Macaca mulatta: one gene and its partners. The protein of the gene in region 2 interacts with the protein of the main gene of each other region in a biochemical or structural test. Links are inferred from orthologs where the notes say so. Each region holds a gene or a part of one and is shown on either strand. Other genes may lie near its edges. The genes, in order: MAPT, STUB1, NQO1, ATXN3, UBE2W, HSP90AA1 and JOSD2.

What was found.
Region 1: of the proteins of STUB1 (region 2) and MAPT, one has a biochemical effect on the other in vitro, tested with the Homo sapiens proteins (11 studies listed by BioGRID, with this or other methods). The link is inferred for Macaca mulatta from reciprocal best matches to the Homo sapiens genes STUB1 and MAPT.
Region 3: of the proteins of STUB1 (region 2) and NQO1, one has a biochemical effect on the other in vitro, tested with the Homo sapiens proteins (2 studies listed by BioGRID). The link is inferred for Macaca mulatta from reciprocal best matches to the Homo sapiens genes STUB1 and NQO1.
Region 4: of the proteins of STUB1 (region 2) and ATXN3, one has a biochemical effect on the other in vitro, tested with the Homo sapiens proteins (6 studies listed by BioGRID, with this or other methods). The link is inferred for Macaca mulatta from reciprocal best matches to the Homo sapiens genes STUB1 and ATXN3.
Region 5: the proteins of STUB1 (region 2) and UBE2W form a complex in vitro, tested with the Homo sapiens proteins (7 studies listed by BioGRID, with this or other methods). The link is inferred for Macaca mulatta from reciprocal best matches to the Homo sapiens genes STUB1 and UBE2W.
Region 6: the proteins of STUB1 (region 2) and HSP90AA1 form a complex in vitro, tested with the Homo sapiens proteins (14 studies listed by BioGRID and IntAct, with this or other methods). The link is inferred for Macaca mulatta from reciprocal best matches to the Homo sapiens genes STUB1 and HSP90AA1.
Region 7: the proteins of STUB1 (region 2) and JOSD2 form a complex in vitro, tested with the Homo sapiens proteins (2 studies listed by BioGRID, with this or other methods). The link is inferred for Macaca mulatta from reciprocal best matches to the Homo sapiens genes STUB1 and JOSD2.

What each region holds. Positions count from the first base shown.
Region 1 is NC_133421.1:70,887,857-70,891,356, reverse strand, and holds part of MAPT (microtubule-associated protein tau), read right to left. Parts: intron 2,996-3,500; coding exon 2,940-2,995; intron 480-2,939; coding exon 282-479; intron 1-281. UniProt on the Homo sapiens protein: Promotes microtubule assembly and stability, and might be involved in the establishment and maintenance of neuronal polarity.
Region 2 is NC_133425.1:1,895,195-1,899,361, reverse strand, and holds the start of STUB1 (E3 ubiquitin-protein ligase CHIP), read right to left. Parts: upstream 2,801-4,167; coding exon 2,642-2,800; intron 2,254-2,641; exon of another isoform or gene 2,165-2,253; coding exon 1,966-2,164; intron 1,879-1,965; coding exon 1,713-1,878; intron 1,521-1,712; coding exon 1,433-1,520; intron 1,294-1,432; coding exon 1,237-1,293; intron 1,150-1,236; coding exon 1,033-1,149; coding exon of another isoform or gene 952-1,032; coding exon 826-951; 3' UTR 519-825; coding exon of another isoform or gene 438-518; intron 363-437; 3' UTR 360-362; coding exon of another isoform or gene 225-359; intron 146-224; coding exon of another isoform or gene 78-145; intron 1-77. Other genes in the region: uncharacterized protein LOC106994901, read left to right, coding at 2,799-3,165, 3,207-3,331, 3,447-3,644, 3,893-4,027, 4,108-4,167. UniProt on the Homo sapiens protein: E3 ubiquitin-protein ligase which targets misfolded chaperone substrates towards proteasomal degradation.
Region 3 is NC_133425.1:65,348,621-65,352,897, forward strand, and holds the start of NQO1 (NAD(P)H dehydrogenase [quinone] 1), read right to left. Parts: upstream 2,801-4,277; 5' UTR 2,661-2,800; coding exon 2,654-2,660; intron 1-2,653. UniProt on the Homo sapiens protein: Flavin-containing quinone reductase that catalyzes two-electron reduction of quinones to hydroquinones using either NADH or NADPH as electron donors.
Region 4 is NC_133412.1:165,351,482-165,355,482, forward strand, and holds the start of ATXN3 (ataxin-3), read right to left. Parts: upstream 2,801-4,001; 5' UTR 2,789-2,800; coding exon 2,765-2,788; intron 1-2,764. UniProt on the Homo sapiens protein: Deubiquitinating enzyme involved in protein homeostasis maintenance, transcription, cytoskeleton regulation, myogenesis and degradation of misfolded chaperone substrates.
Region 5 is NC_133413.1:84,450,388-84,454,687, forward strand, and holds the start of UBE2W (ubiquitin-conjugating enzyme E2 W), read right to left. Parts: upstream 2,801-4,300; coding exon 2,786-2,800; exon of another isoform or gene 1,516-2,785; intron 1-1,515. UniProt on the Homo sapiens protein: Accepts ubiquitin from the E1 complex and catalyzes its covalent attachment to other proteins.
Region 6 is NC_133412.1:175,437,709-175,441,917, reverse strand, and holds the start of HSP90AA1 (heat shock protein HSP 90-alpha), read left to right. Parts: upstream 1-1,409; 5' UTR 1,410-1,468; intron 1,469-2,066; coding exon 2,067-2,228; intron 2,229-2,317; coding exon 2,318-2,684; intron 2,685-3,004; coding exon 3,005-3,138; intron 3,139-3,432; coding exon 3,433-3,753; intron 3,754-3,868; coding exon 3,869-4,034; intron 4,035-4,209. UniProt on the Homo sapiens protein: Molecular chaperone that promotes the maturation, structural maintenance and proper regulation of specific target proteins involved for instance in cell cycle control and signal transduction.
Region 7 is NC_133424.1:62,898,753-62,902,911, forward strand, and holds the start of JOSD2 (josephin-2), read right to left. Parts: upstream 2,801-4,159; 5' UTR 2,643-2,800; intron 2,604-2,642; exon of another isoform or gene 2,473-2,603; intron 2,359-2,472; exon of another isoform or gene 2,236-2,358; intron 1,618-2,235; 5' UTR 1,601-1,617; coding exon 1,455-1,600; intron 1-1,454. Other genes in the region: ASPDH (aspartate dehydrogenase domain-containing protein), read right to left, coding at 2,899-2,942, 3,332-3,486, 3,555-3,775, 3,857-4,006, 4,123-4,159. UniProt on the Homo sapiens protein: Cleaves 'Lys-63'-linked poly-ubiquitin chains, and with lesser efficiency 'Lys-48'-linked poly-ubiquitin chains (in vitro). May act as a deubiquitinating enzyme.

The DNA of each region.
Region 1 (3,500 bases), on a different chromosome or scaffold from region 2:
TGTGAGCCACCGCGCCCAGCCTTAGAGTAGCAATTTCGAAACCAAGGTCCCACCAGGTGTCTGAGGGGCTGCTGCTATGAGAGCCTGTGGGGTGCTGAAAGGTACGGCCCCCAGCTCTCTTTTCCTCTTTGCCCAGAATTCTAACTATTTACACGGTGCTTCTGTGTCAGAGCTCATTTGAAGAAAGGTCTTTGAGGCTAAATAAACAAAAAACAAAAAACACCCCACATTTGCAAACCACAGCAGAGCAGCCTGGTTCTTTTCAAAGGTGGTTTCCTTACCTTGAGTTTCATCTCCTTTGCTCCAGAACTGCCAGTTCGGGGAGTGACAGAAGAGACGTATTTAGGAGAGGAAGGTGGCTCTGGGCACACGGCAGGGCTGGAGGGTTGGATCAGAGGGTCTGAGCTACCAGGAGTGGGGTGTTTGGGGCTAAGGCAAGGCCTATTTTTCAAGGTTTTAGCAGAGGAACGTGTGGATGTCTTAAACATAAACATAAATAAAATCAAAATAAAAGTCAGCACATGGAGGAGGAAAACAAACTGAAAAAAGGACAGTAACTAAAAATAAATAAGGCAGGTAATGGTTGAAAGCAGTGATCTCCAGGCTGTTTGAATCAGGTACCCTTAACATCCCATCTGATCAGTAAGAACAGGAAAGTGACCATCCTCCCCAGTCATACTTCTTATATGACCAACTTACTCAACTCACATCTGACAAAGCTTTTAGAAGAGGACATGACAAAGGAATGGAAGTTCTAGTATGTTCTTTCTCCAGCCTGTTAGATGTGATTGTGCCCCTGAATTTGGAGACCACTGGTGTAAGGGTGCTTCGTAAGTTGATGGAGATCATCAAGGTACATGAATCTTAGGATGTTACTCAAGAAAATGTCGCCAAGTGTGTCATGGGTCTGAAGGGCCTTACTTTCTACTCAATTCCAGGCAAGGGGCTTTTTTGCCTGCCCATTAACCCATGGCCTCTTCCACCACACTGATAGACTCAATCAGGAGTGTGCCCACCCCACGTTGGAAAGATTCTATCTTAGGTTATGCCCACCCCCACCACACATGTGCTTTCTGATTAAAGTCTCAAATCAAACTAATATTAACACTATTTGGTGAATCCTAATCTGGCCAATGTTAACTCTTTTTTTGTCATTGTTGGTTTTAGAGATAGGGTCTCCCTCTGTTGCCCTGGCTGGAGTGCAGTGGTGCCATCACGGCTCACTGCAGCCTCTACCTTTTGGGCTCAAGTGATCCTCCCACCTCTGCCTGGCCAATTAAATTTTCGTTTTAGAGATGGGGTCTTGCTATGTTGCCCAGGCTGGTCTAGAACTCTTGGGCTCGGGAGGTCCTCCCACCTTAGCCTCCCAAAGTGCTGGGATTACAGGCATGAGCCACTGTGCCAAGCCTCCAATGTTTTCTCTTTTTCAGTTTGCCAGTGTAAACAACACTGCTAACTTTTGAACCCATTCCACATGAGGAAGCAGCCAGAGACACGTGTCTGCATACCTGTCCCTGTGGAGGCGGCGGGGGGTGGGGGGACCTGGAACCGGGATGTGGGATAGATGGTGACTGACACCCACAGTTCATCCTACCCATGGGGGATTTTGATGGGTGGGCATGGCCCCAGAGGAGAAGGGGATGTTTGGAGGGGAAGAGGTAGCGCTCTCAGAAAACAAAGTGGGGAGGCTAAGCCTCAAAGTGTTTCCGAGAGCGAGTCAGCTCAGAGAAGGGTCCTGACCCAGACTTCATTGGGCTTCTTGGGGATGTTATCTTATTGCTTTCCAACTCCCCATGGAAGCGGCCGAGACCCTCTGTGTGGCCAGGCTTGGTAAGGAGAACCCAGGAGATGAAGCAGTAGTGGGAGAGGAGGGACACAGGCTGGGGCCCTGGGGCTGATGACAAGAAAGCAAAGCTGGGGTGGGGGTATTGATGACCCCTCCTTCCTCGCTGCACATGGCCCCTCTCCACCAGCAGCACTCCCCACCTGGCCGAGGTCCACGGTAATAGATCTTTCCCCTCCCTAGAATCTAGGCAACTCCAGGGCAGGGATGTCGTACCCATGTGTGCTGCATGAATGAATGAACGAATGCATGCATGCATGAGGCTGGTATTCCCTGACCCCTGCCCCCGGCACTAAATGTGCACCATGATTGACAAGCAGCTGTCACTATCACTTCAGGGACCCAAAGGGCAGCTCTCCAAATTCCCGCAGGCCCTTCCGCTGCCTCACTAGGTGAGGCTGGGGAGCCCTGACTCTGCAGGCACTTCCGGGAGCAGCCCCCAACACACCAACACACCACCGAATGCTCAGAGCTATGTGGCAACTGGAGATGCCCTCTGGGCTCCAGGACTGATTAAAATTCAGCTGTTTCAGACAGAATTTATGCTGGAAATTTTAGATACCTTTAAGAAAAATAGGTCTTATCTAGAGCCATGGTGGGATTTTCCAGGAAAAACGCCACTGTGCAATTACGGGAGCATTTTCCCAGACACCAAGTCATTGAGGGAGTAAACGATGGGTGAAGTGAAATACTGAGAAGGATGGGCAAAGATCAGGGTGCAGTTTATGCAGTGAGCAGATGGCTTCATTTACTGTCCTGGGGTTGGTTTTCAAACACAACTTCATTTACTGTCCTGGGGTTGGTTTTCAAACACACCTTCATTTACTGTCAGGGTCTCACTGAAACTACACTAAGAAGGCTGGAATTAGCAGCATGACTTCATGAACCTGCCAACTTCTCTTCCCTGGGGTAAGTATCAAAACTAATAAATGCTGGACTTTTAAAAAGCCTGCCCCAAAATACAAAGCACTTTAAATGACAGCTGTGCTTTAGTGACAAATGCTCCCCACATTATATATGAGAATGAATCAGACATAAAGCACAGCTTCTCTGTAAACTGGACCAGCTGCAGAGTTCCGTGGCATCGTCAGCTTACCTTGGCTTTTTTGTCATCGCTTCCAGTCCCGTCTTTGCTTTTACTGACCATGCGAGCTGATAAAATATAAAATAAGAATGCTTGTCACACTCCATTTTCACTGTTCACAGAAACAGCCAGCTGTGGTGAAGTTGCATTTCTCTGGGATAGGTCCGTGTTTTGTTTAGTTGGGTCTGGTGGAAACCAGTTGGTTCTCTTCTCCCTTGAATGTGCTAGGTCTCACATTGTTAGTATCAGCATAGCACACTGGGGTCACTGATTAGAGCAACCTGGCAAGAGGGGGCAGCAGGCTGGCTGAGGGTGGGACCATGCAGAAGGGACGCAGCAGAAACTGTCACAGGGACATGATGACACGGAGGCTATCTAAGGAAGGTGCAGTCTCCCTAACCCACAGGCTCCTGCCCTGTTTCTGCCAGGGTCAGCCTCACCCCACTGGGACCAGCCCCACTCCACGGACAGGTGTTTTAAAAGCCTCAGGGCCATGGATATTGGTAGCTCAGTGAGGACCCAGCCTCCTGCAAGATCCAAGGACGGGGGTGGGTGAGTTGTCTCCACACTGCA
Region 2 (4,167 bases):
CTCAGGACTGGGGAGGAGTGAGGTTTCTGAGGGTGGGTACAAAATGGCTTGGTCACCAGGTGCTCATAACCCCACAGGAGCTGGCTCGGGGGTGCCCTTCCACTGGCATGGGCCCGGGTACTCGGAGGTGATCTACGGCCGTAAGGTCAGCACAGGGTTGGGGTTGAGCTTTGGGGCTCGGTGACCAAAACAGGCAAGGGTGACGCTGCTGCTCCTGCCCCCAGCGCTGGTTCCTCTACCCACCTGAGAAGACACCAGAGTTCCACCCCAACAAGACCACGCTGGCCTGGCTCCGGGACACATATCCAGCCCTGCCACCGTCTGCACGGCCCCTGGAGTGTACCATCCGGGCTGGTGAGGTCAGTGGCTGGCAGGAGAGGGCCAGGCCAGGCCAGAGGCCCCCAGCTAATCTGTGCTGCACCCCTTTTCTCCACCAGGTGCTGTACTTCCCTGACCGCTGGTGGCATGCCACACTCAACCTTGACACCAGCGTCTTCATCTCCACCTTCCTCGGCTAGCCAAAGCAGCTGGCAGGCATGCCTGCCACACACCAGCACGTCCCATCTCGTGCTCATGGATTTTATTACACAGACAGTGGCGGCAGTGGCTTCAGCCCAGCCCACCCTCACCTGCTTTTCCAGCCCACAAAGGAGGACAATCACGGCCCAGCAAGAGCTATGCTGAGAGGGGGAATAGTCCAGAGCCCAACAGCAGAACTTGAACTTGGAAGGGGCCAGGGTGGCCAGCAACACAAACTATGTACAGGGGTGGAGGGCTTCCGCCCAGGGCTCTCCTGGACCAGGATGCTGGGCAGGGCAAGGCATCTCAGTAGTCCTCCACCCAGCCATTCTCAGAGATGAATGCGTCAATGACTTCCTTCATGGCCAGGTTGGGGATGAGCTGTTCCTGGGTCAGGGGGCTCCGGGTCACGGGGTCAAAATGACCCACGCGCTGCAGTGACAAGAAGGGCAGAGGGCAGTCAGTGGGCCCAGGACCATGCTGCTGGCCCTGCTCCCCCAGCCGCAGCCTCACCTGCAGGTGCTCCTCGATGTCCTTGCGGTCGTAGGTGATGCCACTGGGCGTGATGCACGGCTCCCGCATCAGCTCAAAGCTGATCTTACCACACAGGTAGTCGGGGATGTCACGCTTCTGTGGCACAGGGGCACACGATCAGAGGCTGGGAAGGGGCACTGCTCCAGCACCTGCCACCCACCGCAGCAAGTGACAGACACTCACCTTCCTCTTCTCGTCCACCTGAGAGAAGAGCTCGTCCATGTCTGCCATGTACTTGTCCTGTGAAGAGTTGAGCACTGCACTTGTGCGGGACACCCCACCTCCCTCCTCCATGGGGCACAGACCCAACACAAGGCGGGGATGCTCCCACGCCAGGTGCACACACACAGACCCACATGTGGGAGGGGGGCACCCTCACATGCTTAGCCTCAATGCAGGCCTGCTGGGCCCGGACGTGGCTGTCGTCCTCATCACCCTCGTGGTTCCGCTGGCACTCTTCCAGCTCCCTGGGGGTTGACCAGGAGCCAGTAAGAGATGGACCTGGCCAGATGTCTGACCACACCCCAACCTCAGGGCTAACATTCATGCTTCTTCCCCACGTTTTCTGCTCGCCAGTGAAACCTTCAATAAACGCTCATGTTGGTAGTTGGTGATTCAGAATTATCCCAAGACAGGGCGACCTGGGGTGAGGGTCCCACCTCTCACGCTCCGCGGCAATGAGCCTGGAGAGGTAGGAGTGCAGCTCGCTCTCCTGGTGGATGCGCCGCTCCTCGATGCTATTCCAGCGCTTCTTCTTCGCGATTCGAAGAGCGCTGGGGATGTCGTCCCCGAAGTTCAGCCGCTGCTCCTTGGCCAGGCTGTAAGCTGGGGAACGGGGGCTTCAGGTCACTCTCTGGCCAGTCCACCCGCCTGGCCCCAGGGGCCCCACAACCGGGCAGCTTGTCAGCCAACCTCGCTGCAGATTGGCGATGGCCTCATCATAGCTCTCCATCTCCAGCTGGCACTGCCCCAGGAAGAAGTGCGCCTTCACAGACTGCCCGTCCAGTTCCAGGGCGCGCCGGCAGTCGGCCAGGGCCTGCTCGTGCTGCTGCATCTTCAGGTAGCACAGGGCACGGTTGGTGTAATATACGGCCACCAGCGGGTTCCGGGTCTAGGGACCAAGGCCGGGCCAGCCGCATGAGGGTGTAGGCTCAGCGCGCCCCCTCTGTCCCACGGCCCGTCCCAGCTTCTGCGCTCTGGCTAGAATCAAGAAACTAGGCTTCTCAGTCGTCAAAGCCCCTGGATCCAAGGATCTGCAGACAGTGGAGTACTGGCTGAGCCTATCCGCTTGACTCCACTTGGTTTTGTAAAGTTTTCCAAATCTTTGGAGAGTCCAGGCTTTGGACCTGGGATCCTCAAGGGGCGAGGGCCCCTGCCCTCCCCCCGACCCGGCCGGCCTCCATCCAGCATCCCACCCTCGTTCTCCGACACCCGGCGCTGGGCTCGGGAACCACGGCTGGGCTTTAGGAGCCCAGGACATGCCCCGCAGAGGAACCAGACCCTCGGTGGGGCCAGCCGGGCACGGGCCCGGCCCTCCCCGGCGCCGCCGCCGCCGCCGCCGCCGCCCTTCCCGCGCGAGCGCACTCACGATCGCGCGGCCGTAGCAGGCCGCCGCCTCCGGGTACTTTCGGCCCACGAACAGACGGTTGCCCTGCTCCTTGAGCTCCTGCGCACTCGGGCTCTTCTCGGGGCTTCCGCCGCCAGCGCCCAGCCGCGCGCCGCCCTCCTTCTCCTCCTTGCCCTTCATGGCGCCGCGCGGCACGGCCTGGGCTGCGCTCCCAAGCTCCGCGCCTGGCGGCCCAGCGCCTGCAGCCCGAGCCCCGCAGCCCGAACCCGCGATCCTCTCGGGCCCGGCCCAGCTCCACCGCCGGAACTTCCGGCCGGGGGCGGGACCAGCGGGGACGCACGGGTGGGGGCGAGTGGGGCCGCGCGTGCGCCCAATCAGCCTGGACGGGGACGCTAGGCCCGCGGCGTCGGGGGCTGGGAGGAACACTCCGGTTCCCTCGCTCGGCGCTCTTAAGGGTCGGCGTTCGCGGAGGCCCTGGCCCGCCCTGCTGAGGCCTCTTCGGAACCGGCCTCGGCGGCGACCGCCACACACATTCGACTTTCCCAGTGAGATGCCTTGGTTCGCTGAGGGCGCACTCCCCCAACAGCCTGTCCCGACCACCTGGCGTTCCGCCCCCGCCGCAACGCGCAGAGACCCCTCCCCAAGCAGCGGGCCCCATCCAGAGGCCCTTCCCCCGGCAGCCAGCCCCGCCCCCAGCAGCCCGCCCCATCGGCAGACGCCCCGCCCCCAACAGGCCGCCCCACCCAGAGGCCCCGCCCCCAGCAGCCAGCCCCTACCCAGAAGCCCCGCCCCCGGCAGCCGGCCCCGCCCCTCCGCGTGAACATAGTGGCTTCCCGCGCTGTTGGGTGTAAGGACCCCAGTCGCTGGGCCGCCATTCCGGAGCGCCATCGAGAGGTCCTACGGGCGCGCGCGGACCCCCGAGTGCGGCTGGAAGCCCTGGGCCGTTGGTAGAGTGGAAGGGGATAAAGGGATCGGTGGGCGAGCGCCCCCTGTGGCCGGACCTCCCCTCACCGCCCTTCCCCAGGTATCGGGAGGAGTTGCCAGCGGCCATCAGGGGCAGAGCGGAGAGCATGTGACAGGGAGCTGGAGCGGCTGCTGGCCTGGAAGCTGGCGGCGAGGGGCGGCCCGCCTCGAGGGCGGGGCCTCCGTAGGGCGGGTCTTCACCGGGGCGTGGCATCGGCGGGGCGGGGCCTCCAGAGCGGGTCTTCGTGGGGGCGGGGCCTCCCTGTGGGTCCACCACCCCGGGCACCCTGACCTGGCTTCTCACAGCAGCTGGTGACCACCAATCCCCCTGAGCTGGCTGTGCACTGTTCGACCACCACCTTCTGCCTCCTGCCAGATGTGGGCGCCGCGGTCACCCAGCTGTCTGCCCTCTGCGGTGTGGACCCACCACAGTCACAGCCTCAGGTGAGTTGGGTGGGCACGACTTGGGTACATAAGCGTCCTTGTCTGTGAAGCAGACAGTCTGGGCCCTTGTGTGTCTCTAGGACCAGGAGTCGGAGCCAGAGCTTGTCCTGATGGGGTGTCTGGCTGCTTCTCCTCGCTGC
Region 3 (4,277 bases), about 63 Mb from region 2:
CACCACTGCACTCCAGCCTGGGCAGCAGAGCAAGCCTCTGTCTCAAACAAACAAACAGACAGATGGTTGTGAATAGGCAATTAACAGAAAAGAAGTTTTCTGGGCCTGGAGGGTTCATTTTCCCTTCCTGCCACTTAACTAGCTGAGCAACATGACCTGGGAGGAGTTACACTACTAGAGTTTACCCTGAGAGAGGCCACAGGATGCACACACAGATAACCTCTTCAGGGTAGAGTGGCATTAGTGTGTTAGGAGAGGTAAGGGACAAAGTTCAACAGAGGGCTGGGCGCGGTGGCTCATGCCTGTAACCGCAGCACTTTGGGAGGCCGAGGCGGGTGGATCACTTGAGGTCAGGAGCTAGAGACCAGCCTGACCAACATGGTGAAACCCCCGTCTCTACTAAATATACAAAAATTAGCTGGGCATGGTGGCGTGCACCTGTAATCCTAGCTACTGGGGAGGCTGCAGCACAAGAATCGCTTGAACCTGGGAAGTGCACACCACTGCACTACAGTCTGGACAACAGAGTGAGACTCTGTCTCAAAAAAAACTTCCACAGAGGAAAACTTCAGGACTTCGGGGCTGGCCCGTTAGGAAAGGCCCTCAGAGGAGCTTGCCATTTGAACTGAATCTTGGTCTTGAACTCCTGGCCTCAAGCAGTCCTCCTGCCTCAGCCTCCCAAAAGTGCTGGGGTTACAGGTATGAGCCACCACACCCAGCCAAAAACAATATTTTTTAGCCAGGTTTCAAGTTCTGCTTTGACCAAAAAAATTAGCTGAGTGTGGTGGCACACACCTGTAGTCCCAGCTACTCAGGGGGCAAAGATGGGACTATCACTTGAGCCCAGGAGGTCAAGGCTGAAGTGAGCCCTGATCATGCCACTGCACTCCAGCCTGGGCAGCAGAGCAAGACCCTGTCTCAAAAAGAAAAAAAGAAGTATGTTAAAGGTAAGACTTTGTATCAGTTTCATGCATTCTCCTTCTGCCTTCTCTCTTCACTTGAGTGCTCCAGGGAACATGAGTGCGAATCAGACACATCTATTAGTTGCAAACAAAAAACCTGGATGCTTTAGTGAACCTCAAGATTTGGTTAGCCGGGTACAGCTAAAACTAATGATACAAGATCCAAGTCTTCCTTTTTTCCCTCATTACCAGCTCTCTTTTTTGTGTTTAAGCTACGCATAAATACAGAACATTCTGTAAGAGTGGAAAGTCAGGAAACAGTTCCTGCCCTAGTATTGGAGGAGAGGGTGCCTGTGCCTCGGGGAGCTTAAGAAAGAAATACAAAGGAAATAGCAACCACCGTGTATGCGGCAAGCCTCTCAGCTGTAAGAATCTATTCCCTGCTGTCTCTGCCAGCAACTCATTCTGGGCTACCAATCCCCTGCTTAGTCCCTTTCTCAGAGATTCTGATAATTTCAGTCGGTCAATTGCAAGGGCAATCTCTTCCTCCACTCACTTTGACCAAGATGGGCTTCTGTGTGTGCAGGTGCATTTTTAGAGGCAGGACCAGGTTCACAGGGAAAGAAATTACAAAACGCAGGACTGTGCCCCAGATGAGGCAACAGCTTTCTAAATCTTAGCGCTGTCCAGTCTCAGAGTGAGATTATTTGGGAAATAGCTCTCAGTCCCTGCAGTTGTCTCAGCTGGTTATTTATGCCTTGGGTGGAGCTGGGTTAACCTCTAAGTTCCCCTAGGGTTGATGGCCGAGTGGGGAGGCTCTATCACTGAAATGGACCCAATACTAGAAATGGATCCAGAACGACCTGATCAGGTTTGCCTAATCCAAGGGCCTCAATGGAAAATACCTCCCAAGGCCAGGCACGGCTGCTCACGTCAGTAATCCCAGCACTTGGGGAGGACGAGGTGGGCGGATCACCTGAGGTCGGGAGTTTGAGACCACGCTGGCCAACATGGCGAAACCCCGTCTCTACTAAAAATATTAAAACTAGCTATGCATGGTGGCGCACTCCTGTAATCCCAGCTACTCGGGAGGCTGAGATGGGAGAATCGCTTGAACCCGAGAGGCGGAAGTTGCGGTGAGCTGAGATAGCACCATTGCACTCCAGCCTGGGCGACAAGAGCAAAGCTCAGTCTCAAACAAAACAAAACAATACAAAACAAAACAACAAAACCTGAGCCTGGCAGCTTGGAGCCGGTTCTGGTCTCTGTCAGACTAAAGGTATCGGTTTCCTCCACTCCTGTCCACCAATCACCAGATATTCTCATTTTCTTCAGAAGCTCGGAATCCACATTTTTAAGTGAAATCACCCATTTTAATGTTTGCAACTTAATTCAAATTGGTTTAAATACTATAGCCCGAAAGAGGTATGGGCTGTGACCGTAAGCCTGATTTGGCCTCCAGCGGCCAGTTTCTGACCCCAGTTTTGGAGGGAATTCCTGCGTCCAAGGTCAGGTTTCTCCTAAATGCCCACTGGAGTTCGTGGGGGTGGAGTGAGGAAGGATCCACAACTCCGGATACAAACAGAAGCTCTCCTTCTCCCGGAGTCCCATCAAGGCTCATCCCAGGACCCTAATCTCTTCCCTTTGTGGGTTTTGACTCAAGGAACAAAACTCAGGGCCAAACCCATACAACCTCCTCCACAGGCACCAGGACTCCGGAGACCAAGCGCCTCGCCCTTTCCAGCACTCACCGACCATGGCGCTGGTGCAGTCCAGGGCGCTGATTGGCTGGACTCGTGCTTGCCGGGGCGACCCTGGCCGGGACTAGGCTCTCACTGGGCCGGGCGACTCCAGCGGCAACCTTGCAGGAGTCGTGTGTGTGGTGCGCGGTGCAGTCTCTCTCATATATCCTGCGCGGCTCATTGGAGTTGGACGTCAACAAGGGCGGGACCCAACGCCTGTATCCTGAGGTGCTGGGCTAGAGGATGCCAAGGCTGCAGCTCCAGGAAGGGAGGGAGCCTGGGGGGTGAAGGAGGAGCCCCTCCACTCCCACCCGCCCCGCCTGAGCAACTGGTGGAAGTCAAGAAAAGTCTCTGGGGGCTGGAAGAGGGGTTCGTGGGGGTGTGTGACAGAGGCCTCAAAAATCTGGCTGGAGGGGCTAAGGCAAGCCCATCTGCGCACTGTGCCCTGAGGTGCAAGGGGATGCAGGGTGGAAGTTGTTCCCAAGAGAGTCCAGGGATCGAGTGGGCCTGCCCTTTGAGCCTTGGCACGAAGTGGAGCAGAAAAAAAGCCGGATGCAGATTACTGTGGTGCCCCAGGCTCAGATTCTGCTGAGTCACTGTGACTGTGGATTTGGAAGGCTGAGAGCACTGGGGAGACATGTTCCGTGGAGATGAATTTGTTTCTTCCTTTGCAAGATTCAGATTCTGCACTTGGGGGCCCATACAACACACTTCCCTGGGTGCATGCCGCTGCACCACCCCTGCTCCTCAAGGCAGGTAATGGGGGAACTAATTGGTTTTGTTTCCCATGAGCTAAAGCAAGGCTGGTGTGGAGATAGCAGTTATAGGGAGGCATATTAAAGAAGAGCCAAAACGGAGCCAGGCGCGGTGGCTCATGCCTATAATCCCAGCACTTTGGGAGGCTGAGGTGGGCGGATCACCTGAGGTCATGAGTTCGAGACCAGCCTGGCCAACCTGGGGAAACCCTGTCTGTACTAAAAATACAAAAATTAGCCGGGCATGATGGCGGGCGCCTGTAGTCCCAGCTACTCGGGAGGCAGAGGCGGGAGAATCGCTTGAACCCAGGAGGCGGAGGTTGCAGTGGATCGAGATCGAGCCACTGCACTCCCACCTGGGTGACAAAGCGAGACTCCGTCTCCAAAAAAAAATCTCTATAAAGAAAAAGTTAAAGATGTCAATGAAGGAAAAAGAACTAGAGCTTTAAAGTGGTAATGAACCATCACAAGAATTACAGATGGGGAAGGTGAGGATGACACAGGGCCCTTCCATTGTCCCTCCAGTGCAAAAGTTAAGGAGGTACCAGAATACTGGTGTCCAACTCCCGACTTTAGGTGATCCTAGCAGCTCAGCCTCCCAAAGTGCTGGGATTACAGGCATGAGCCACCGCGCCGGGCCCCATCATGACATTTTTGCATTCATTTTGATGCAACAAGAGAGGACTGTGTATTTACGAATTATTTTGGGAGGCCTAGGCAGGAGGATCACTTGAGCCCAGGAGTTTGCAATAAGCCTGAGCAACAAAGTGAGACCCCATCTGACAAAATAGTATAAAAGGACCTTTTAAAAAAGGGCTAGGCAGCCCTGTCCAATAGAACTTTTCCTATCTGTGCTGCCCAAGTAAGGTAGCCGCAAG
Region 4 (4,001 bases), on a different chromosome or scaffold from region 2:
GCCTATACACATGCTGATAATTCAGAGGGACTCTTTTTTTTTTCTTTTCTTTTCTTTTTTTAGACAGAGTCTCGCTTTGTTGCCCAGGCTGGAGTGAAGTGGTGCAGTCTCAGCTCACTGCAACCTCTGCCTCTTGGGTTCAAGCTATTCTCCTGCCTCAGCCTCCTGAGTACCTGGGATTACAGGCACCTGCCACCACACCTGGCTAATTTTTTGTATTTTTAGTAGAGACGTGGTTTCACCATGTTGGCCAGGCTGGTCTCAAACTCCTGACCTTGTGATCCACCCACCTGGGCCTCCCAAAGCGCTGGTGTGAGCCACCGCACCCGGACTAAGAGGGACTTCTTTCGGGTAAGTAGATTTTCGCTAGGCTAGCACCCAGCTTTTATTGATCCCATGGTTCAGTAGAAATGCGTCCCAACTAGGTAACAATCAATATTGTTAAAAATCTTGTCTGATTCTCAGGAAGTAGTGTGGAACATGTTTAAGGCCTTCCATGTTGAAATCTGGTCCCACACCAAAGCCTTTGAAAATTAATAACAAAAATATGGCCGGGTGCAGTGGCTCACGCCTGTAATCCCAGCACTTTGGGAGGCCGAGGCGAGTGGATCGCCTGAGGTCAGGAGTTGGAGACCAGCCTGGCCAACAGGGTGAAACCCTGTCTCTACTAAAAATACAAAAATTAGCTGGGCGTGGTGGTGGGCACCTGTAATCTCAGCTACTAGCGAGACTGAGGCAGGAGAATAGCTTGAACAGGGAGGCAGAGGTTGCAGTGAGCCAGGATCGCGCCATTGCACTCTAGCCTGGGTGACAAGAGCAAAACTCGATCTCAAAAAAAAAATGTTTTTAAGAAAGTACATGTGTATTTTTCACACACTTTACTCAGCCAAGCAACTAAATCTCTATTGTCTATGATTTATAAATCATGTCAATCAAGTCAAAAAATCAGTGACAACTATATGACTGAGGCCTTCCTCCCCCACTGTAAATCTGCCTATTTCAAAAGTTTCTGAGATGTTTTCTACAATGAAAAGCATTGTACTTAACAATTTGTTCCAGGCACAGTGGCTCACGCCTGTAATCACAGCACTTCGAGAGGCTGAGGTGGGAGAATCACCTGAGTCCAGGAGTTCTAGACCAGCCTGGGCAACACAGCGAGACCCCTGTCTCTCCAAAAACATTAGCTGGCCCTGGCGATATACACCTGTAGTCCCAGCTACTCTGGAGGCGGAGGAGGGAGGATCGCTTGTGCCTAGGGAGTCAAGGCTGCAGTGAGCCATGATCTCTCCACTGCACACCTGCCTGGGTGACAGAATGAGATGCCATCTTTAAAATAAAAATTAAAAAAAAGATTTATACTACAGATTTACATCTGGTAAATGTATTCTTTTGTCTTTGCTTTATTTGTTGTGTGTGTGTGAATTTTATTTTATTTTATTTTATTTTATTTTATTTTTTTTGAGACGGAGTCTCGCTCTGTCGCCCAAGCTGGAGTGCAGTGGCGCTATCCTGGCTCACTGCAAGCTCCGCCTCCCGGGTTCACGCCATTCTCCTGCCTCAGCCTCCCGAGTAGCTGGAACTACAGGCGCCCGCCACCGCGCCCGGCTCATTTTTTGTATTTTTTTTAGTAGAGACGGGGTTTCACCATGGTCTCGATCTCCTGACCTTGTGATCCGCCCGCCTCGGCCTCCCAAAGTGCTGGGATTACAGGCGTGAGCCACCGCGTCCGGCCGTGTGTGTGAATTTTAAATGTCTGGGATAAACGATCATTTATAAGCATTTAATAAAACAAAAACCCTTTGCTCCTCCTATTAAATAATAGCCTTACCAGCAACTCTTTCCAAACATGATACTATTACGAAACAAGATATCATGTGCCAAAGTTGTCCTGGGGAAGGCTTCACTCACATACAAATGGATGGATAATAGCATGTGAGAAACGAGGAGTTTCTCCACATGTCACAAACAGTATCTTCAAGTGCATGGTCACTGAAGAGTTAAAGTGACAGCAGGCTAGGCAGACCACAACAAAATCATTCCAGTCCACTCCTAATACCTAAAAACAAAGCTGGCTGCCTGCTCCGGAAAGATGAGAGTACCAAAAGAAACCAAACCCAAACATCCCGTAATAAAAACTCGTGACGACTTCCCTGTTTAGGGGCACAACGGGTTTCCTACTTCACTTCCTAAGTGTCAGGCCCTACAGTGGGCGAGCCAAGGTCTCCTCCCTCGGGAGGCTCGCGGACCTGGTGCAGGGGAAAAAACATGAACAAGACCTCAAAGATCTAAATGTAGGGAAGACTCCAATATAGAATTGAGCAGTCTGGAGAAAGAAAAGTTAATTCTGCCAGGAGTAGGGTAGGAGGGGTCGAGGGAGGTGTCCCAGAGGTGACTGTAGCTAGACCCTAGGGAGAGGGAAGGATTGGGGAGGGGTGAAGGAATCCTCCGAAAAGCTATGGAAAGTGACTTAGAAAGGAAGAAGCAAATCCACTGGGCGCCACCGCGCTCCCGTGTCCCGAGACGCCCCCGGCCCCGCCCATACTCCCTCCCGGCTCCCAGGGCGGGGGCCGCGGGGGAAGTAGGAGCGTAGGTGATGCTCCCCTCCCCGAGCCGAAGAGGCGGGGGGTTGCGGCGTCGCCCCTCGCCCGGCGAGATCGGCATGGGGGCGACTCGGACCCCACCCAGCCCTCCGGGAGGCTGTGATGCCGCGCTCCACGCCCGCCACCGCGCGGCAGACAGCTCCCCACCGCACGCGGACACTCACTTTCTCGTGGAAGATGGACTCCATGTTTATTTGTCTGGAGCCAACGGCCCCCACACCGAACCACCCCCTCCAGCTCCGCCCCCTGTCCCTCCCCTCCGCCCACCCCGCCCCGCCCTGGTCCCCCGCCCACGCGCCGCACGCAGGCCAATCACCCGCGAGGATGCGAGTCACGTGAAGCGAAGAGCGAGTGAACGCCGGGGACACGTGACCTTGGTAGCGCGTCCTCCTAGTTTCTGTTAGAGGGCCTTCTGGGGGATGCTACATCGCCACCTGCTGTCTGGAGGATCTTCTCCGCTTCCCACCCATTTCTATGGGTTCTTAGGTTTCTGGGGGGAGGTTTGGACCACTCACCTGGGTTCGATACTCTTTTTGTTTTCCACTTTGTACTTTCTACTGTGTTCATATAACTATTTACTTTCTTTCTCCTCCTCCTCCACTGAAAATTTAGTAAGAAAAAGCCATCATTACATTCTCCCAAAACCTAGCACTTGTATAAAAATGATAGCTAGGCCGGACGCGGTACCTCATGCCTGTAATCCCAGCACTTTGGGAGGCCGAGGCGGGCGAATCAACTGAGGTCGAGAGTTTGAGATCAGCCTGACCAACATGGAGAAACCCCGTCTCTACTAAAAATGCAAAATTAGCTGGGCGTGGTGGCGCATACCTCTAATCCCAGGTACTTGGGAGGCTGAGGCAGGAGAATAGCTTGAACCCGGGAGGCGGAGGTTGCAGTGAGCCGAGATGGTGCCATTGCACTCTAGCCTGGACAACAAAAGCGAAACTCCGTCCCCAAGCCCCCAAAAAAGGAAAAAAGTGATAGTTAATATTTATATAAGGCTTTCTATGAGCTAGGCCCTTTTCTAAATGCTTTGCATATATTATCAAATTTAATACAGCAAACTTTGATGTAGGTGTTGATGCTATTCATACACATGAGGAAACCGAGGCACGGAGAGGTTAAGAACAGCACAATGTCCAAGGTCAGATGGTAAGTTGCCTTGCCAGGATTCAAATCCAAGTGACTTGTTACCACTGTAGGTGTTCGGACCCTTTAGAGGGAACTTAGAAGTCTCATAAATTGTGTGGGAGACGGGGAGGTAGCAGCGGTTTGATGAAGCTTGAATGGAAGGATAGGTGCAGATCTTGCACCTTGAAACCAGATTAAGGTGTACTTTTTTTTTTTTTTTTTTTTTTTTTTGAGATGGACCTCTCTCTGTCCCCCAGGCTGGAGTGCAGT
Region 5 (4,300 bases), on a different chromosome or scaffold from region 2:
CCATCTCAACACAAAAAACAAAAAACAATTAACTTAAATATGCTGTTATTATCTGTCTCTTCTTACCAGACTATTTATTATTAAATCCATGAGGGCAAAAATCTTGTTCGCTTTTGTTCATTGCTATAACCGCGGCACCTAGATAAGTGTCTGACACACAGAGGGCCCCCAAAAGGTAACTGGCTCAGTGATTAAACAAATTTGATAATTTGATTGAAGATTTATGTATAATCTAGTTGTCTTAAAAGAGCCAGATGTTGCCATTAAGATAGGATATAAATTCTGTACAACAAAGATACAGAATAACCACACAGAAAGTAGGGCTGTCTTTCAAAAAGCCTGACTTATACATATTTAAATATTCTTAAAGATACTACCAGAAAATCTGCACTAGATATTTTAAAATACAAACAAAAGGAAAAGACTTTTTACTTTAATAAAAAGAGTTAAGCATCCATTTTCCATTCCTCTAACCAGAAAACACAGAAGAATAGAGAGTGATAAGATTTAGATGGAATAAGGTGAAGGAAAAACTTCAAAGAGTGGTAAGACAGTCTGAGGTAATACTTAGGGCACAGAAAAATGCACTATTGCACTATCAATCAAGTATTTGTTTCCATTGCTTAAGACATCATGTAGGCCGGGCACGGTGGCTCACACCTGTAATCCCAGCACTTTGGGAGGCTGAAGTGGGCGGATCACCTGAGGTCGGGGGTTCAAGTCCAGCTTGACCAACATGGAGAAACTCCTGTCTCTACTAAAAATACAAAATTAGCTGGGCGTGATGGCCAATGCCTGTAATCCCAGCCACTCGGGAGGCTGAGGCAGGAGAATCACTTGAACCCGGGAGGCGGAGGCTGCGGTGAGCCGAGATCGCCCCCACTGCACTCCAGCCTGGACAACAAGAGCTAAACTCCGTCTCAAAAAAAAAAAAAAAAAAAAAAAAAAAAAGACACCATGTAAAGTTCAACATTACCAACCTTTCTCTTACAAACAAATCTGCCTTTTCCAGATACTAAATCTAACCAGATGGCACACTACGTTCTCTTGTCAAATATTATCACGAGTGTTGTGGATTTTAATCTTAATTTTTACTCTCAAATAATGTTTTAATCTTAATACAGATAATCTTAAACTTGTCATAAAAAATGTTTTAATCTTAACACAGATAAAAATCTTTAAGTGGTCATGTAGCCTATTGCATCTACTGTTCAACTAGCATTCCACAGTTCCTTTTCTTGGCCTCAAATGACGAAACTTCTCTAACGTCTCTGGGGGACTAGTGTAAAGTATAATGTTTCCTGAAATTGTTCCTGTTTTTTTCCCTGCACCATTCGTGACATCTCTTCAACTAGAAATGTTACATAAAACTTTTCTGTTCTGCAGGCAAGTCCAGAGGGAGAAGCAAAAGTAAAGAGAATATTGTAAGGAAAACAGGTTGAAAGGGGAATAACATAAAAGCACAGGAGTAAATGTGAAGCAAAGATATATTTGTACAAAAGAGGAAGAAGTTGCAGAAAAGGGAAGAAAAACACTTTTAGCAGAGAAAAGAAAAAAAAATGGAGGAGGAACAGAGACTTGCTTCTTTCAGAAACAAAAGCAAAAAACACTTCTAAGAAAACGTGGTCTCTTTACCCAAGGGGATATTATTAAAACGCTAAAGAGTATTCAGCTGACACTCCTATTGAGTGTTCTACTTTCTCTTCCAATGTCTTTGATACCGCTAGTCTTCACCTATGAATTAAATGCAGGCTATAGATAACGCAGCCAATCTCTACAAAACTACAATTGTGGTTGCCATCTTTGCCTGAAAACAAAAACACAAAAAACCCGCAACTCCCTGAATTCGGGAAAAAGGAGTAAATTAAGTTGGAAAGCCAGAAAACCACGCCTTGCTAAGTCGGGTGGATGTGGCACAGGTTAACAAACGCCTCCTACCAAACTAAGGTTCCACTAAAGGTCTGCGAATAAGGGCAAAGAGATGTATAGCCTTATCGCGACCGCAAGGGTGGGGCCTTGTAGGGGGAAACAAAATAAAGGGCGAGCTATCCCGAAAGGTTTCAGGGGGCTGAGGACTTGGCTCTCGGGAGATCGCCCATCAGGCAGTGGACTCGGGGCAGCTTCGAGAGGAGGAGACACTGGACTGCTGAAGTAATGTCCGCGAGAATGCCGAGGCTGATGGAAAGAGCGGATACCCACGGGCACAGGATTAAGAGTCAAAGGGAAGAAGAGAGAGACGGGGCCAAGCAGTCTGGGGGGCCCGGCGTGGGAGGCCGGAGCAGAGGCCGCTAAGCGCCGTCCGCAGCCAGTCGCCTTCTCCGGAGACGCCTTCTCGGCTCCCCCACACTCAGCCCCTCGCCGCCCCTGCCCCGGCAACAACCGCGGGCGCAGCTGTTTCCGTCGGGCCAGGGACAGCGGGGGTAAAGGCAACCCTGGGACTGGCGGGCAGCAGACTGGCAGTGGCCGTGTGTGTGTGTGTGTGTGCGCGGGGAGCCGATTCTGAGGCTGCCAACACCAGACTTCGCCCTTTCTCCCCCAAGCCTCCTTTATCACCCAACTTCCCGGCCGGCTGGTGTCCGCTTCGACCGACGGATACCGCACCCCCCCAACGCCTCTCGCCGCCTCTTACCCCTCCCCCGACGCCCTGAGCTGAAGGAAAACAAGCCACCCGGGCCGATCCCGAACCCGCCCGGGTGTCCCCGAATCGCGGACGCCACCCCCGCCCGAACGCTGGCACTCTCTCGGCGGCTCCCTGGCCCGCCCAGATGCAGCAAACTCCTCTCACCTGCATTGACGCCATGATGGAACCATCCCCCCAAGACCGGCGAGGCCAGAGACGCAGGGGGAGGAGCTGCCGTGCTCGCGTCACGCCGCGGGGGCTCAACATCCCGGGCGCGGAGGCGGGGCCTACGATGGGAAGGTGATGGCGCGAGGGGATTGGCTGGCGCGCAGGGCGGACGGGAGGAGGGGCTAGGGGGCGGGGCGAGGACGTGGTAAATGGCGCTCCGAGTACCTTCGGTCTCAGTCCGGTTCGCCGCTCCCGCGTCGGTCTTCCGTTTACTCTGGTTACTGAGGAGACACGGCTCCAGTTTTGACCCGGCTACGGTTGTTTTCTTCTTGTGTACCGCGTAATCCTGATGCCGTCCGGATCAGCTCAGATTTTTTTCTATTTCGTTTTGGTTTTCCAAACACAGCTGTGCGGTTCACAGATTTTTCTCTTGGGATGTGTTTTCCATACCGTCAAGCCCACTCTGAGAGCCTTGGGGCCCCATGAAACTTCCCGCGCAGCTGCTTTCTGGTCCTTGTAGACCTGGAAAGCTTCTTGTATTCTTAATCTGGGGAAGAGAGACATAGGTTTCCTTGTACAACAGGATGAGGATTAAAGAGCAAAACGACACTGATATTTTAAAGGCGAGGGTATTTAGATTTGTGGAGCTGAAACTTGCCTGAAAGGGGAGAGAAAATTTGGAAGTTTGTTGTGTACAGTTTCTGCCCCTTACCCCAGCCCTTCAGTTTTAAACTTCGCATGTATCAACAGTAGTTACGGTTGTTGCGGCAGTCTAAATTTGATTATCAGAATTGACCCTAGGCATGAATTTTTTAAAATATACTGAATTTTTAAAAATATACCAGTGTTGTGTTATATACACTTAGACCATTATGTCCAGACTTCTCTTAAGCCTATTTCGTGGTGGGCAGTTTTGTGGTCAGTTAGGGATGAACTTGGGTAGGGAAAGCTGAGCATACATAATTTATTTTAGGAATGCACCAGTTCTGCCAACATTTATCAGAAGTCACGTTTTAAAAAAGCTATTCTGGAACTGAAGATGTCATTGGTTTATAAGAGGAAAATGGAAGCCAAAAGCTTGCACCTCATGCTCTATCTTTAAAAATTAAGGTGGCAGACACAATGAGTAGAAGGCTTTTATGTTACCAGAATGAAGGCTTAAAATCTGTCATTTTATTGACTCGGCTTTCTTTTTAGAAATTTCTTTAAGATATAAAAGCAATGCAGAATATCACTGTTTCACACTCTTAAAATAGATTACGTTCTCTGGAACTTCTCTAATCTGAAATGTGTTCAAAAAGGAAAAAGATCTTTAAAATACGCCAGTTAGTCTATGGCATAATATTAAACACTACTCATCACTAGAGAAGTTACGGTGGTATACCCTCCCCTCTCTCAGATGTCCACCCTAATGCCAGAAATGAGCGGAGTTTCCCTTTGTTGTGCAAAATGACTGTGTCCTTGAGGGATGTTTGGATGCTCTTGGTAAACCGGAATCAACCAGAAGCATAT
Region 6 (4,209 bases), on a different chromosome or scaffold from region 2:
AGTCTGAAAACCCCTGCTCCTGAGTAAGTTGGTTTCCCTAGAGACCAGGAAGCGGAGGTAGTTCCGTCGTTTGTTTACACGGTAAGGAGCTTCCAGATTATTCCGAGGACCTGGCTATGAGTTTAGGCAGGAGGAGGCCCAATCATGGGAGGCGCCAGAGAGGAAGAGGACATGGACGAGGCATGGGAGCCAAGTCTAAGGAACCCCAACACCTCTAAGGTTCTCATAGCTGGCCTTGACCAAAATATCTGAAAATTCTCATGTAGAAACTGGTTCTTCCAGCCTGAGCAACATGGTGAAACCCCAACTATACAAATAAATACAAAAACTAGCCGGGTGTGGTGTCCGCGCTTGTGGTCCTCCGCCCGCGCTCGTCCCAGTTACTCGGAAAGCTGAAGTAGGAGGATCACCTGAGCCCGGGAGGTCGAAGCTGCGGTGAGCCAAGATTGTGCCACAGCACCCCAGCCTGGGCGACAGAGGGACAGCCTGTCCAAAAACAAAAAAACACCAAACCTGTCTTTTAGGGAAGGTTAATCACCAAAATGTCAAGTGTTAGATACTTAATTTGGAGACCTCAAATCGATCGGCAAAACGATGGGCTTTTAAAAAGCATGCCGGGTGTAGCTGGGTAAGCATGAATTTATTCACCAAGGGCCCGATTCCCAAGCTAAGGGACCCTGAAGTGTGAAGGACATGGCTTCCGGGGAACCCAAAGGTAGGGAGCGCTCCTGAGCCAGCAGTGGGTCTGGAGACTCCCCGAGCGCGCAGGCCGCGGGACGGCGTCCCCTGCGCGCAGCAGCTAGAAGCCAACAGCCCAAAGGCCCCCAGGGAGCAGAGCCCCGCGATCCCGGCGCCGCCTGCGGCTGGATTTTTTGGCAGCGGGCGCGCCGTCCGTGAGGATGACGGCTCCGGTAGTCTCCCGGGCGTGCGAGACCCGGGGCGCTCCCCGTCCACGCACGGCCCTCCCTCCAGGCGCGCCTCCCGCCCCAGCCCCGCATTCTGCGCAGCCCGGGTGACCAAACTACACCTCACTTCAAAGGCCCCCACGCCCGGGCGTGCCCTCCGCCCGCGCTCGGCAGGTGGGAGTGCAGGGAGGAGGGCGCGGGCGGCCCCAGAAGGCGCCCGGACCTTCCCGAGAATTCCAGGCCGCGCAGGCGCATTGAGGTCGGCGCGGGGGCGTGCGAGAGGCGCGGGGCGGTGATTGAGGGAAGGTTTCCCGGGCTGGGCCATGAGCAGGGCCTGCGCGCGCCAGCGGGAGGGGCGGGCCACGGCGAGGGCGCAGGCGCAGGCGCGCGGCCGCGGCGGCGGTTGGGGAGGGTTCTTCCGGAAGGTTCGGGAGGCTTCTGGAAAAAGCGCCGCGCGCTGGGCGGGCCCGTCGCTATATAAGGCAGGCGCGGGGGCGGCGCGTCAGTTGCTTCAGCGTCTTGGTGCTGCTGTGCCGTGGAACGTTTGCAGCCTTTTAGCCAAGGTGTGAGGGGCGGTTGTGGGGGCCTGTGGAGGTGGATTGGGGAGTGGGGGCGGTTGGCGCGGAGCGGAGGCTGTGGGGGCCGAACGGGAGCCCTGAACCCGCCAGGGCCGCTCTCCCGGGAGGCCGCGCTGCCTATTCCGGAGGCCGTGGGCCCGCTGCTGTCTCCGCAGCCCGCCTCAGGAATGGGCTGGGCGGCTGCTCCCCGAGTCTCCGCGGCAGCCCCGGAGCTGGCGCCGCACGCGAGCAGAGCGGCCCTTTGGCTGGGGGCCCCCCGGGCGGCCCAGCTGGGGCGCAGGCGGAGGAGGCCGCCCTGGCGGAGCCGCGGCCCGCGCGGGAGGGCACACGGGGTGTCGGTTGGGGACCGCGGCGCGGGACTGGGCCGGGCCTGCAGTGGCCTCCCGGAAGCGCGCACACGCTCGTGGTAGTTACCGCGCTCCGAAATGAGGTCATCCTTTGTCAGCCGCCCTTCTATTTTCGGTTTACTTAAACTTCGCAAATCTGCAATCCGGCTTTAAAAATATTGGGAGGACGCGATGGAATCTCGTGTTGCCCCTGTAGACGCCCTGCAGGGTTTTAAACCGGCGCGGTGTCGTTCCAGATGCCTGAGGAAACGCAGACCCAGGACCAACCGATGGAGGAGGAGGAGGTTGAGACGTTCGCCTTTCAGGCAGAAATTGCCCAGTTGATGTCATTGATTATCAATACTTTTTATTCGAACAAAGAGATCTTTCTAAGAGAGCTAATTTCAAATTCATCAGATGTAAGTCGTTTATTAACCCAGAATAGGATTTTGGTTTCAATATGAACTTCTTGGGGGCTGTATGCTTAATTAATATTTTGTGTTAATAGGCATTGGACAAAATCCGCTATGAGAGCTTGACGGATCCCAGTAAATTAGACTCTGGGAAAGAGCTGCATATTAACCTGATACCAAATAAACAAGATCGAACCCTCACTATTGTGGATACTGGAATTGGGATGACCAAGGCTGACTTGATCAATAACCTTGGTACTATCGCCAAGTCTGGGACCAAAGCGTTCATGGAAGCTTTGCAGGCTGGTGCAGATATCTCCATGATTGGCCAGTTCGGTGTTGGTTTTTATTCTGCTTATTTGGTTGCTGAGAAAGTAACTGTGATCACCAAACATAACGATGATGAGCAGTACGCCTGGGAGTCCTCAGCAGGGGGATCATTTACAGTGAGGACAGACACAGGTAGGTACCTGAACACTCACTGGTTAAGTCAGTGGCGGAATGGTGGGGTGTTGCAACCCTTGGACCCCTGGGGATGCGGCGAAGTTCACAGAAAGTGTGTTTACCCAAGGATCAGGAACAAGCTAGAGCTCTGAATTAGTGTGTAATGGCATGACTTGGTGATTACTTCTTTTGGGCAAGGCACTTAGATCTGCTGTGGGAGCCTTTGCATCTGTAGTAAGGGCAAACCTCGCTTCATAGACACGTTATAAGGGTTAAGCATGGCGTTGAGCACTAAATTGAATGTATTATTGAGTCAATTTTCCTTATTTCTCTTGCAGGTGAACCTATGGGTCGTGGAACAAAGGTTATCCTACACCTGAAAGAAGACCAAACTGAGTACTTGGAGGAACGAAGAATAAAGGAGATTGTGAAGAAACATTCTCAGTTTATTGGATATCCCATTACTCTTTTTGTAAGTTTCTACATAATTGCAGAGTGAATTACTGTCTGTAGGTGACTGGGGTGACTGTACTACATCCTTAGTTCCTAGGTCTGTTGAACTAGTTTGAAGCCTGGGGAACCTAAGCTCTACTAACTGTGAAGGTTCCTCGGGTTATTAAGTAGATATATCAAATATTGATGAGAAGCTGCCTGGCTGCTTCTCATCCTCGGTAATTTAGGCTTTGGCCTTAGGTTGAAAGTAGTGGGGCAGCGCTATGACTTAGTTCTAGAGTGCAGCAGTGATGCGATTTCATGTCTTTTGAAGGTGGAGAAGGAACGTGATAAAGAAGTCAGCGATGATGAGGCTGAAGAAAAAGAAGACAAAGAAGAAGAAAAAGAAAAAGAAGAGAAAGAGTCTGAAGACAAACCTGAAATTGAAGATGTTGGTTCTGATGAGGAAGAAGAAGAAAAGAAGGATGGTGACAAGAAGAAGAAAAAGAAGATTAAGGAGAAGTACATCGATCAAGAAGAACTCAACAAAACAAAGCCCATCTGGACCAGAAATCCCGACGATATTACTAATGAGGAGTATGGAGAATTCTACAAGAGCTTGACCAATGACTGGGAAGATCACTTGGCAGTGAAGGTGAGTGAGGGACTGATGGATGCTTCAAGCTTGTCTTTAGATTATCATCCCACCACCCCAAATATCTGCTATAATGCATTGTTCATTGATACTTAGTGTGTTTGTTCTATTACAGCATTTTTCAGTTGAAGGGCAGTTGGAATTCAGAGCCCTTCTATTTGTCCCACGACGTGCTCCTTTTGACCTGTTTGAAAACAGAAAGAAAAAGAACAACATCAAATTGTATGTACGCAGAGTTTTCATCATGGATAACTGTGAGGAGCTAATCCCTGAATATCTGAGTAAGTATAGATAGGAAAAATAATCACTGTCACTGATTAAAGAAATACTTCTGGCTGGGCATGGTGGCTCACACCTGTAATCCTAGCAGTTTGGGAACCCGGGGTGTGCGGATCACTTGAGGTCAGGAGTTCAAGACAAGCCTGGCCAACATGGTGAAACTCCATCTCTCCTGAA
Region 7 (4,159 bases), on a different chromosome or scaffold from region 2:
CTTCCTGGCCCCCTGGCCCCAGCCACATCCCCGGTGCCCACCACCCCCCGCCCCACCCCTGCCAACCTTTCCTCCAGCTCTTCCCCTGCCCAGGAAGGCTCTTCCGCCTGCCACCACTTGTCTCTGGGCCCTGCCTCTGAACAGCTGCACCTCTGCTCCCTATCTGGGCCCTGGGCAGGCAGGGCATGGGAGGAAAAGGCTTGTGTGTGTGTGTGTTTCCCTCGCCACCCTCAGGCTGGCACTTGAGTCTGAGTCATCTCAGGGTCTCCAACATGGCTTTGGTATGAAAGAGCTGGTGGGTCCTTGTTCTGAACGATCGAGGGATGAATAAATACCATAATGATCAGTCTGAGGGGCTGGGACTCTCAGGATGTCCAGGAGCCAGAGGCGGCTTTCAGCAAGAGACAGAAGAGGCAGCCCACCTCCAGGTGTAGAAGACTCTCTAGGATCAGTGGGCACTGAAGGCAGGGACAGACTGGAGGCCACGGGCAGGTTGGGCAGGAGAGGATCAGGCCTGAGCTGGGGCCAGGGACGTGGGGACAGAGAGGAGGGAGTAAGAGATGATAAAGGATGGATTTTTGTTTGTTTGTTTGTTTGAGACAGAGTCTGGCTCTGTTGCCTGGCTCACTGAAACCTCCATCTCCCAGGTTCAAGCAGTTCTCCCACCTCAGCCTCCAGAGTAGCTGGGACTACAGACGTGTGCCACCATGCCCAGCTAATTTTTTTTTATTTTTTAGTAGAGACGGGGTTTTGCCCTGTTGGCCAGGCTGGTCTGGAACTCCTGACTTCAAGTGATCCACCTGCCTCGGCCTCCCAAAGTGTTGGGATTACAGACGTGAGCCACTGCGCCCGGCCAAGGAGCGAGGTTGGACATCGTGAATAGTGAAGAGGAACATTCCATGCTGGCAGAGAAGGAAGCCACACCAGGCAGAAAGAAGTACCTGGAAGCCCAGAGGCTGCACAGGAGGGCTCACGGGAGTGGAGAGTCTGGTTTGAGGGGGGCTGTGAGGGCTGAAGCTGCAGAGGCAGGCTCGGCCTCCGCTATCAGGAGGGCCCTGAGTAGGGTGGGGGTGTGTTTAGGATGGACTGGAGAGCTGTGACAGGGCCCAGATAAGAGATGCCTGAAACTGAGTGAGCCTGTAATCCCAGCTACTGGGGAGGCTGAGGTGTGAGGATCACAAGCTCAGGAGTTCAAGACCAGCCCGAGCAGCATAGCCAGACGTTGTCTCTAAAGAAAGAAAGGACCACCGGATTGGGGCCTGGCTGGGGCTGAGGCCACAAGGACAGGCAGGCACAGGAGGCAACATCTCCCCAGAGTCCCAGCGTCTGGCTTAGGCAAGTGAGCTGGGGACAGAAGAAAGCCCCCAGGCTCAGCGCCTGCTTGGTGGCGAGACCCAGGTGGGTCGCTCTGCCGGAGCCCTGCTGCTCCAGGGGCCGGGGTGGGTGACGGTCACCTCTTGCAGATCTCATCGGCAGCCTCCTGGCTAAAGAGCTGCTGCTGCAGAACGTTGTTGAGGGCGTGGACGGCACATAGCTCCAGGCGCTGCCGTTCGTGGTACACAGAGGGTGGGCTCGGCTGTGCTCCCGGGGCCTGGGACATGCCGTCCTCGGCTCCTGCTGGGGATTGGGAGGGGAAGAAGGTCCTCAGGGGCCCGGGATCTAGAGGTCCAACCTCCCAGCAGGCCTTTGGGGCATCGCCATTGATTGAGCTGGGGCTCCGGGCAGCCCGGGAGGGCACTGGGCCCCTGACCCCGCTCCCTGGGTCTCCTGACAGTACACGTCCCTCCATCCCCTCTTCCTATTCCTACGAAAAAGGCTGTCTCCTCTGCTCCCCTAGCAACAGAGAACCACCCCCACCAGGTCTCTAAGTAAAAGGGTGCCTATCATGGTCACCTAGCAACAGAGGAACCCGCCTCCCCTGTCCCTAGGTAACCGGGCGCTCTGTGGTTACCTAGCAACAGAGCCCCTTCCCCACGGCACTCGGTAACAAAGTCTGTCCTCCGAGCACCTAGCAATAAGAGAGTCTTCCTCCCCTGTCTCTAGGTGATAGGGTCCCCTCCGGTCTCCTAGCAACAGAAGACTACCCTTCCCCGGTCATGAAGCAGCGAGGCTCTCTGCTCTTGTCACCTGGCAACGGGGCCCCCTCCCCAGTCACTAAGCAACAGGAGTTCCTTTTCCTATACCCGGCAACCAGGCCCCTTCCCCGGACACCAAGGAATGGAGCCCTTCACCGACCCGCACCCCAACCACGGCGCTCGCCCTTTGCCTGGCAACGCCCCTCACCCCGCCTGCCTCTCCGCTCCACCGAGCCAAGGGCTTCCGCATCCCCTTCCTGGGTTGCGGCTCTGTGCTCCGAGTGCGGGGCGGGCAGCACCGCGCTGACTGGGCAGGCGGGACGGACTACAGCTCCCGGTGATCCCTGCGCGCCGGACTACGACTCCCGTGGGGCCCCGCGGGACCCCTCCTCCCCACCTAACGCCCGGGCCGCGCGGCCTTGAAGTCCGCCGTCGGGCCTAGAAAATGCTGCACTACAACTTCCGTCGGGCTCCGCAACAAGTCCCGGAAGTGTGCCTCAGATGCCCTTCCTTCGCGTACGGCCGCGCCCACTACCGCTCAGAGCTTCTAGGAAATATAGTGCGTACGCTCTCGCGATAGCTTCCCGGCGCCGCGCTCTCGTGGGAGGTCGCCCCCTGCGATGGCGTCATGCGCGGTGCGCAGACGCAGCGTGACGTCACACAAGGGAAACAGGGACCAGGGACGCCAGGCGGTGCAGGGGGAGACAGCGATGATCTTTACTGAGTCAGAAGGGAGATCCTGGGGAAGTGGGGCAAGGCAGGGGTGGGATAGTGGTAGTGAGAGGCCAGTAAGATGATCTCGTCTCGGGAGGGAGGAGGCTTCTCAGCAGAGATGGATCCCCGGCCTGGAGGGGAGCTGGCAGCAGACTGCGGGGAGAGGGGAATGAGCGAGTGAGACAGAGGAGAGATGAGGAGACAGACACCTGGGGGAGGCAATGGTGGGAGGAGGGGACAGGCCTTGGGGGCGGTGGAGGAAGACCCAGAGAGAGCGGGACAGAGCCCTGGGGGTGGACACAGACAGACAGAGAGAGTCCTCATCAGAGGCGGGCACAGAGACTCAGAGAGGGGACGCGGACAGAGATGGAGACATCTACGGTGCCAGGATTCAAAGTCGTGGACAGAGGTTAAGGAAATAAAGGTCAGAAATAAAGGTCAACAAATACATAACCAGAGCTGCAGAACTAGCGAGAGCCCGGGATCCCCAAGCTCTGCAGAACACAGGAGCCCAGGGCCGGGGGAGAGGGGCCTGGCCGCACCCAGGAGGCTCCGCCAGAAGGCCGTGACGGTGGCGGAGCCGGTTACCGCGCCTGGCTCGGCAGGGTTCTCTCTGTGGGTGTGCACAGCAAAGCTTCGGCCCCTGGGGCCCGGGTGTCCGCTCAGCTCTACATCCACCACGTGCATGTCCGTGAGGCTGGGACAAGTGGGGCGGTCAGTGTGGTTAGCCTGGACTCAGCCCAACACCCTGCTCACTCTGCTCACCTGAGATCAGCCACAAGCACACCAGTCACCCCATCGAAGCCCAGGCTGGGGGCAGCCAGGGCAGCCGCCGCCATGGTGTTGGAATTTTGGGGGGCAAAGGGGCAGAGCCCACGGACAGGGCCTTCGTAGAGCACAGTGCGAGGCCCGGTGCTGTGGGCTGCAGCCAGGGGTCCCTCGAGCCGGAAGCCATCGGGGTGTGTGGCCATGGTGACACGAAGGCTCTGGAAGCAAGAGCCCGGGTTAGGGGGAGTGGGGTCTTTGCAGGCCTCCCCTGGTTCCTGGGGAGCCCAGCAGGCCCTCACCCGGAGGCCCCCAGCTGCATCCAATCTCGTGATGTCCTCGGTACCCCACAGGGCCCCTCGGGCCACAAACACGGCATGGTTCCAGTGCTGTGAGGCCTCCAAGAGCTGCCGCTCTGTGGTCTGGTCACTTAGAGCTGAGGGGGACCCCACCTGGGGTGGATGAAGGAGGAGAGGGTTGAGGTCAGGGAAGGATATCCACTTTAGGGTGGGGTGAGACCAAGACACAAGGGGTAGGGCTCTGTGTGAATGGTTTGGGTGGGGCTTACCAGGAGATTGGCATGGCGCAGGATTTGTGCCCCAGAT